2 linked regions of the Caenorhabditis elegans genome follow. The protein of the gene in region 1 interacts with the protein of each later gene in a pairwise test. Each region holds a gene or a part of one and is shown on either strand. Other genes may lie near its edges. The genes, in order: sqst-1 and snrp-40.1.

Region 1 (5,045 bases):
AGCATCACCACATGTTCATCTCGCCTCAAATTCAAAAAAAAAGCAACACTTCACTCCTAAAACAGTTCCATTTTCGGTCGATAAACCATCGATTCCCCGTTCACTCAGCTGTGCGTATTTTCTCGTCATTCGTCTCTTTCTCACAGCCTACACTATTCGCGAAGCCGTCTGCAATCTGCGTCTCACCTTGGGCCCTATGCAGAGGGACAATCAATCGGCCTAGAGGAGGCTGGTCATGTGTTTATGCATAGAAATATCGAGAAAGAATGCGAGACACAGAGATGAAGAGGCATCATTCGGCCTCATTTTGCCCATAGCAACACTTACACTCGTAGGCTCGGTAGTGGAATGTTCCAGATGAATACTCTTGCTTTGACACGATATTTAAGTAGGAAATTCCTTTTCTAAAATCTAAAACTAGCAATTTCTTGCGGTTGTGTAACCGAATCAAATATTCGAAAATTAGCAAAATTTCGCAATGAATATTCTCGTTTTTTGGCAAACCGTTTCTTTTTTGTCATTTTGACTATTACACAGTCTCCTCCAGTGGAAATCGGTCCGTTGGCGCACTTCTCGTGCATCGCGTGGAAAATTGAGAAATTACCAAAACTTTCAATTTACTGTTTTTCTTTATATTTTTCATAACATAAGCTTGGGTGGAAGATTACTTTTCAAATAAACATCAATTTCTACTAGAAAAATGATGATAAATATACAAAATATGAGAAAAACTCAATTTTTAGTTGTTTTTACTTTTTATATCAGCGCTTTTATTTTTGAACCAAAATCAAAAAACTTTTTTCTCCACCTTTCCCCGAATTAGCTTTACAATTGATACCTAATTTCAAAGTATGAAATCGATTTTAAACCCACAAAAACCGAAGGAAATCATTTTTCAGTGGTAAAATTTTGCAACGCTCACGAGAAACGCGCAAGCCCCCTTGTTGGGTCATTTCCACGTGAGGAGGCTGTGTATTATCCTTTCTGATTTTTTCCGTCAAAAATACGGTACCCGGTCTCAACACGCTTTTTTGTTGTAAAATACAAGCAAGTATGCGCCTTTAAAGAGTACTGTAATTTCAAACGTTTTTTGCTGCTTAATTGTTTTCCTTAACAATTTATTTGTTTATTTAAAGACTAAAAATTGAAATTTAAAAGCACAGAATTGTTTTAGAAAAAAGTTTTAGAATACAGTACCGGTTGGAATTTGAAAAAAATTGTCGTGTCGAGACCGGGTACCGTAGTTTTGGCGCAAAAATCACAACATTTCGCGTATGGATAATATTTAATTGCATTTTTACATAACTTTCTTGTAGGCCCAACAGTACCTACTTGCCTGCCTACAGGCAACTCTCTACTGCTACTAAATTTTTGACGCCTTCACGAAATTAGTCACTTATGATAATGAAAGTTTATATTTTAGTTCTAGAGAATCTGTTCAACTAGATCCTAACAAAAATAGTCTCCAAGAAATTTAGATGAATGATAATAAAAACTTGTTGGAAGTGATCTACTAGATCTAGATACCACCTTGAACTTTGAAGCCTTGAGTGTTTTTCTTTTCATATCTCCGTTCTTGCCCCCTTTGTTCATCTCGTAAACATCTTTAAAGGTTCCAAAAATAGTACATTTCCTTTTTGTTGTTGCATTATTCTCCAAAAAAATGAATTATGGTTTCAATTTCTTACACAATACAATCATTATGATGATTATTCGAAGTATAATATTTCGAAATTTCCTTTTTTCGATTTCGCAACTCTCGCAACTCAATAATGTCAATACTTGTTCTATTATCTTTCACTCTCTTTTCACTCACTTTCAAATAACTTCTCATTTTACTCAGATGGCTGCTGCATCATCCGCTCCTCACCAAATGCAAGTTCGTGTGACTTTCTATACAAGTCACAATCCGCAATCGGTTCTCATGATTTTGAAGAACGATCAGGCTCTTCAACAGATCTCCGAGAAGGCAAGAGAACTGTTCCCATCGGCTGATTATCGTCTCTACTACGGTAAGATATTATACTTTTGTTTTTGCCCCGTTTGCTAGACGAATCAATTGTGCAAATAGAGTATTTGTATGCCACACCTATGTTATGACAAAAAAGTACGGTGCCCGGTCTCGGCACGATTGAAATTTTTAATGGACGTTCCGAGGAAGAGTGTGCGCCTTTAAACAAACCATTTTTTTAAATTTAAAGTTTAACTAGATTTAAAAGGTCGTTATTTTTGTAAAACTCAATTTAATTAGATTATATTTAAGATTTCTAATTTCCCTAGATATCTCACAGTAACTTTTTTCCAAATCTTCAAATTTTCAGGTGATGTCAACGGACCAATCTTTGAGTTCACCAATTCGGATCAGATTATGTCTAAGATTCGAATCACTACATTCTCTCGAACTCCTCAACTTTTTGTTCGCCTGGAAACTGTTCCCCTTCGTCCAACAGCCCTACCATCAGTGAGCACTGAAACTGCCAAAAAAGCTTCCGATGCTGATCGTGAATCAAAGAGCAGATCCTCGCTGAAGCGTATCGAGAACAACCAGGAGCTCACATTGAAGACGCTGGAGAAGTTGCAAAAGGAGCTCTCAAGAGTTAGCGCTTTGGAGACGATGGTTGCTGATCTTCATGCAAAGGAAAGAGAACCTGTTGTCGAGGAAGTTCAGAAGCCATTCCCTCCAGTGAAGCACTCGGCGTCTTGTGATGCTTGCCTCGGTGACATCATCGGACATAGGTTCAAGTGTCTCGAATGTGCCGATTATGATTTGTGCGAGAAGTGTGAGAGAAAATCTTTACATTATGAGCATGCAATGATCAGAATTGTGGAGCCAAAGAAAACAATGATCCCATCATATGTGACATCAAACTCTCCGAACAATGTCTTCCCAACTTACATGCAGCACAAGATCCAACAACCACAAACTATCAAGGGGATCAACAAGACTGTTATCACGAGACTCGTTCCTTCACATCAAGTTAATCCAGCTCCAATGCCTCAAGCTCCACCAGTCTCCACTCCAGTTCCATTCCCTCCATCTCCAACCATCGGAAATGGAGCAGTTCCAAAACCAGCCCAGGAGCCTCGGATCCCACCATCTCCAACTTCTGCTCTACCACCACCACAATTCTTCAATGAGGAGACCCGTGCAGCCATTATTAATAGTGCAGCGTTGCTCAAGGAAACTTTCAGTACTTTGAGCAGAAGCTTCTTGGATTTGGCAGATGGTGCACAGGCCAATATGGATAAAAAGATCATTGAACGCTCGACCATGGAAGCAGGAATGACCAAATTCGAAGAGAAAATGGATAATTTGAAAAGACACTGTGAGGAGAAATATCTTGGAACGGAAACTGCTGAAGCTGAGAAGAGCGAGGAATCTTCGAAGAAGCAAGCAGATAGCTTGTCTGGACCAAAGATCAAGAAGGCTAAGAAGAAGTCCTGCTACAAGAAATCTGCCGAGAGACTATTCACAATGCAACTTGCTGCGGCGGCTGCTGAGCAAGCCCGTCTTGAACAAGAAGCCAAGAAAAGAGCTGAAGCCAGCTCTGCTGAATTACAGAGGAAACTTGCTGAGCTTAATGTGAAGGAATCTCAATCAAAATCCGAGGAAAACATTGCTGACTTTGTCCTATACGATCTTTACGGAAACTCCTTGGAAGCTTTGTTGAGAGGTCGTTCGAGCTCTAGAATCGCCGATCCTCCGACCACTCCAAATACCGAACCAGCCACCACAGAGTTAGCTTCAACGACCTCTGCAACTCCAGCCGTCACTGCTCCAGCATCAATTGTTCCAGTTACTCCAACTGCACCAATTGTTGAAACTCTGATCGTTCCACCACTTCCACCAGTGGAATCAAATCCAGAAGAGGTTACACCAATGGTGACTGCACCAATCTCAATTCACTCTTCTTTCGAGAACATTTCTTCGGATTTCGAGAGCCTCAGTCCATCATGGGGAGGATACCCAGATTTGGAAGCTGCACAACGTCTAGAAGTCATCGATGATAACTTACTCGACTTCTCTGATGTTGCTGTTGAAGCCCAGGAAGCTCAAGAAGCTCAAGAAGAAGCTCGCCCAGAGCCAGAGCAATCTCTACCACCATTTAATGAGGAAACTGAAAAGGTAAATCTAAATGTCGTCCATGAATCCCCTAATCTAACGAATTTTCAGACATTCGATCGTCTCCTTGAGATGGGATTCTCCTACAACGTCACTGTTGCTGCAATCAGAGCAAATGGATCGAATCTCGAGATGTGTCTTCAGGCGCTTCTTCACTAATTTGTACATCCTGTATCGTGTCGCCCAACCAACTCTCTCCTAGATACTATTAGTCATTTTCATCATTCCAATGGAAAGCTGTATCTATTTTTTCTCGTCTTGAACCTGAAAATGTTGCTTTTGCGTAAATTGCTTTTTTAATAATCTGAAATTAATAAAGTTGTGGCGAAAAATTATTGTCAGCTGGTTTATTTCAAGTATGGTGTTGCTTTCTGAAACTTGGAGGCTGAATTTTTCTTACATCTGTAGAATTTTATCACATTTCGAATAATTTCAGATAATTTTTTAAAAAACCTTTTCCAAAACAAACTATGAAAAATAAACTTCAAAACATCAACTAGTTCTATTCTCAGGTTGAATATCATTCATTACCAAAAGAGTTAAAGCGTTTTCCAGAAAAAGTTTCGATAATTTTCCAAAAGCCAATTCGAATATTTTCAGCAAGTCGCCGCGTACATTTAGAAGCATCTATCATCTTTGGCATATGGAAGCGAACAGCTTTGAGCAATACGTTTTTTCAGTACAGTTACAAAATCCCATTTTTCTCATCGTTGCATCGAAGATTTTTTCAAAAATTTATATAGCAATAAATAACAATATGTGTACATTTTGAAAATACTTTTACTTTAGATGGAAAGTTTCGAAAATTTGCTCAAAAACCGGCTCAAATATCAAAGTGCAAATCGGCGCATGCCACATTTCGATTTTTAGGCAGTTTTTCAGTAACTTTTTGAAATTTTCGATCCAAAGTGAAATCATTTTC
Region 2 (4,384 bases), on another chromosome or scaffold:
TATAAAAAGACAGCTAACTTTGGGAAAACCATCTCAAAGATTTGATTTTCCTTTGCATCCCATGGAAGTGGTTTTCTTGCTGCCCCAAAGAAACCACTGAGCTCTCGAAGTCCAATATCTGCAAAAAAAGTATTGACGCTTTTATAAACTTGAACTCAATCTCACTTGAAATTTTGCGAACGAATTCGTGAAGTAAACTTTTCTTCTCAACATAGGTATGAATATGCTCTGCAACAGCTTTTCTGTCTTCCCAGGATCTGATGGCATTGGCTGCGTTCATAACTGACATCGAAGTTTCGCCGAAGATGTTTGTGTATAAGGTAGGTGATTTTGTTTGAGAGAACCGTTCATTAATCTTCCTATATTGGGTGAAGCTTTTTTTCTCCTTAATCTTTCCTGGTGAGCTGAGTGTTGATGGTCCAAGCCCATTGTGAACATTATAATTGAGGGTTTGCATTGCACCTTCAGGTTTCGGGAAAGTGTACATCAGTTGAGCAAGCTGATTATTTGGAACTGCTGAATTGAAATTCTACGTAAACCTCCATATTTTGTAGTTTTGTTGCTTAATTAGCTGACTTTTACATAAATATAGCTTCAAAGTTTTCATTGTTAACAAAAATAAAAATGGCACTAAACAACCAAATTTCATATTCAGCTAGATACGCTAACGTTGACAATTTGTTTGCTAGAAAATACTTAATTTATATTTTTTGAAAGTTAAAATTTTGATGTACAACTCAGCACGTAAAAATTGTAAACTCAAACCCACCATTGAGTAAAGACGATCCAAAGATTCGTGCAGCCAAAAGCAATATAGTTTTAGTTTGCTGGAACTGTAGATATTCTTGAAGAACAGCATGGATTTTCTGATACTCTTGTTGGATTGACGTTAGACCCACTTGGCGCTCGCCAAAATTCATGAGACCGAACAAGCGTGAAAAGTCATCAACGTTTGCTGAAATTATTGTTACATTATTTTATTGGTGTTAACAATTGACTTACTTAATTCATGCAGAAGAACAGTGGAACGTTGTTGCAAAGTCTCAACGGCTTTTGGTCGGTCGTGTAACCACTCCATTTTTTCCTGCATTGAGAATTGATTAATGTGATTGAGTATACAAGTGGATATGTGCTCCAAAGGTTGGATATTTCTGTGATACTCAATCGCTCCGTCTATTTCCTCATTTCGTGTTCTTATATTTTCGTCATAGTAGGCCGGGCTGCTTGTATGGTTTGGTTGAACTGATTGATCATGTTGTTGGGTAACAAATTGGTTTTGTTGATTCGTAACAATTCGCTGAGTTATTTGATAAAGATTCAGCCTGTTCAACGCTTGCTGCGCCTGGAGCAATTGCTCTTGATCACTTTGCAACATCAGTGCCGCAATGAATTGATTGAGAAATATATTCTGAGTATCTGAAAACATATGAATTTATATGTAAAACAATCAAAACGAAAAAGCAACAATGAGAAACGGAAAAAAACTCTAAACTGATATAATGTACAAAAGATTCAGCATGGGAGGAAAGAAAAGTGGAGATGGCTTGGAGAGTTGGCAGGTTGCCAGGGGAACCTTTTTTGGCAAGCCTGATGCGTACGTAGCCTCAAGCGTTTTTTCGCCTTGATAACGTCTAAAGGTAACTGATAGCGGACAGAATCCAATGTTTATCTCCATGTCGTCTCCACTCTCCGTGTGAACCACGCTCTTCTGCCTAGTTGGCAAAAATTTGTTTTTTTTTCTGTAATGTGCACTCTTTCTCGTGGCCTCCACAAATTTCCATGCGGTCGTTGGTTGCCACACAGCAGCTCTTCTCACTCTTCTTTGTTTCTTTTTACTTTCCTTCTTTCCTATGCTCTCTTCTCAGCGCCGGCAGACATTGAGAGGAGACCCGACCTGCTGCCAGGGAGGGAGGACGAACGGCAAGTGTGCGCACTAGAAAATGTAAACGCGCTCCACCGCATTGCATTTACAACTCGTCTCCGCGTTTCTCACACTGCATCGTCATTGTCTATTCGAAAACGTCTTCCAGTGTTCAAATTTGTTTTTCCAGTGGAACCCAACATTTACCAACACAACGATGGCTCTTGTTACTTGTAAGTTTATTTTATAATTTTGTGTAATTTATTTTTATAAAACATTTCAGCTTCGGGACAGCAACTGGTCAGCTCTGGATTTCCACAGCAAACTGCGCAGAGATTCTCCAATTTGATGGTAAATATTAAACATTTATCAAACAACAAACAGAAATCTATATTTTCAGGCACCAACAATGGTTTTGCTAGGTCATGAAGGAGAAATTTACACCGGTGCATTCAGCCCAGATGGAACATGCTTAGCGACTAGTGGATACGACCAGAAAGTGAGTTTTTTTCAAATCCTTGTGGTCTCAAGAATTTATATTCAAATATTAAATTCTATGATTTAATTATTAATTGGTCTTTGCAAATAAGAACAATTGAACGTAGAACTTTGTATAGTCTTGAAAAAACCGAATATAAAACTACCTTCATACTAAACAACCCTTTTAAGCAATGATTTGCAGATCTTCTTCTGGAATGTATACGGCGAATGCGAGAACTTTTCTACAATCAAAGGACACTCAGGAGCAGTTATGGATTTAAAATTCACCACCGACAGCAGCAGTTTGGTCTCTTGTGGAACAGACAAAAGTGTTCGTGTCTGGGATATGGAAACCGGGACTTGCGCTCGTCGCTTCAGAACTCACACAGACTTTGTGAACGCCGTCCATCCGTCTCGTCGTGGTGTAACTCTTGTCGCTTCTGCCAGTGACGATGGAACATGTCGTGTGCATGATATGAGAACCAAGGAACCAGTGAAGACTTACACCAACCGATACCAGCAGACAGCAGTTACATTCAATGATTCTTCGGATCAAGTGATTAGTGGTGGAATTGACAACGTGCTCAAAGTTTGGGACATGCGTCGTGACGAGATTACTTACACTCTGACTGGACATCGTGACACAATTACTGGAATCTCTTTGTCACCAAGTGGGAAATTCATCATTTCCAATTCAATGGATTGCACTGTTCGACAATGGGATATTCGACCATTCGTACCAGGACAACGTTCGGTGGGAGTTTTTGCTGGTCATAATCACAATTTCGAGAAGAACCTTCTCAAATGTTCTTGGTCGCCATGTGAGAGATTCATCACTGCTGGCTCGTCGGATCGTTTTCTCTACGTCTGGGAAACACTGTCGAAAAAAATTGTGTACAAGCTTCCAGGTCACATGGGAAGTGTCAACTGTACCGATTTCCACCCAAAGGAACCTATCAGTGAGTTAAAAATAAATTACAAAAATTTAAAATTTCCATTGTTTGACCATTCAATAATTTCAATTTTTCAGTGCTCTCGTGTGGAAGTGACAAACGTGTTTTCTTGGGAGAAATCGATATGAGCTAGAAATTCAAAACATCCATATTCGCCGGTTAAATTTGTTTTTTGTCATTTTTCTGTTTTGTTTTTTTCACTGGATCTCCTTTTTTGATGTAATTTTTGAACTTACTTTATGTCCGACTCTCTTTATTTATTTTTCAGTGATCATGTTTTATCAAATGAATTCTTGCAATTCAAAATTGAAGTACGCCAGAAAAATTGTTTTAATGGAAATACGAAAGAAGATGAAGGCGGTAACAGCGAAAGATGAAGGTCAATATTTAATCAATTTACCGCAATTGCTCTAGAGTAAACAATTGGATGGATAATTATCAATGCGTGAAGAAGTATCAATTCGCATTCCGAGTTACTGGCAATTGTTTAATTCTCAAGTTCTCCTTTTTTCTTTCTTTTTTGTCAAATGGCAAAACAAGTTTAAGCATATTTTCCTTTTTTTAAGTGTTATAGTTGAGTCGTATCAAAATGATCGTTCCCTGAGTACTGTCATACTGAGTCGAGGGGCCGTATGCAAGCTTTTCAGTCTTTTACAATTTAAAAAAAGCATAGAATATGATTGAAACAAAAATCTAAGAAACCGCGCTCCATGCTTGCAAACGGTGTCGAGATAAAATTAGCAGTATCCACGGAGCAGTTATTTTGGCGCGACCGTGTATGATTTCAATCGAGTTTAATACTTGGATTATTAATACAGACCAAACTAAACTATTCCATGATGGGATGTCTGTGCACAGTTTTTTATTGAGCAAACAAGTACTTGTACGGTTGATTGCAGCTGCATGATTTCCCGATTCTCGCAGTGGACATGAATGACGTACTTAAAAACACCAACCGTATTTAAAATATTTGCTCATTCTTTTTTTTCAAAAAAAAAAAAAAAAATTACACCAGATATTAAACCAAATTGTCGATTCCTTGCCTTTTTAATTTTTAGGTATTTGCTCGTGCATGAACACATTACTTCTT

What was found.
Region 2: the proteins of sqst-1 (region 1) and snrp-40.1 interact in a two-hybrid assay, tested with the Caenorhabditis elegans proteins (one large-scale study listed by BioGRID).

What each region holds. Positions count from the first base shown.
Region 1 is NC_003282.8:12,032,439-12,037,483, forward strand, and holds sqst-1 (ZZ-type domain-containing protein), read left to right. Parts: upstream 1-1,843; coding exon 1,844-2,012; intron 2,013-2,321; coding exon 2,322-4,126; intron 4,127-4,174; coding exon 4,175-4,282; 3' UTR 4,283-4,453; downstream 4,454-5,045.
Region 2 is NC_003284.9:11,297,295-11,301,678, reverse strand, and holds snrp-40.1 (U5 small nuclear ribonucleoprotein 40 kDa protein), read left to right. Parts: upstream 1-1,894; 5' UTR 1,895-2,078; coding exon 2,079-2,094; intron 2,095-2,144; coding exon 2,145-2,212; intron 2,213-2,261; coding exon 2,262-2,360; intron 2,361-2,543; coding exon 2,544-3,300; intron 3,301-3,371; coding exon 3,372-3,427; 3' UTR 3,428-3,643; downstream 3,644-4,384. Other genes in the region: F08G12.3 (RasGEF domain protein), read right to left, coding at 1-118, 166-516, 770-955, 1,003-1,375.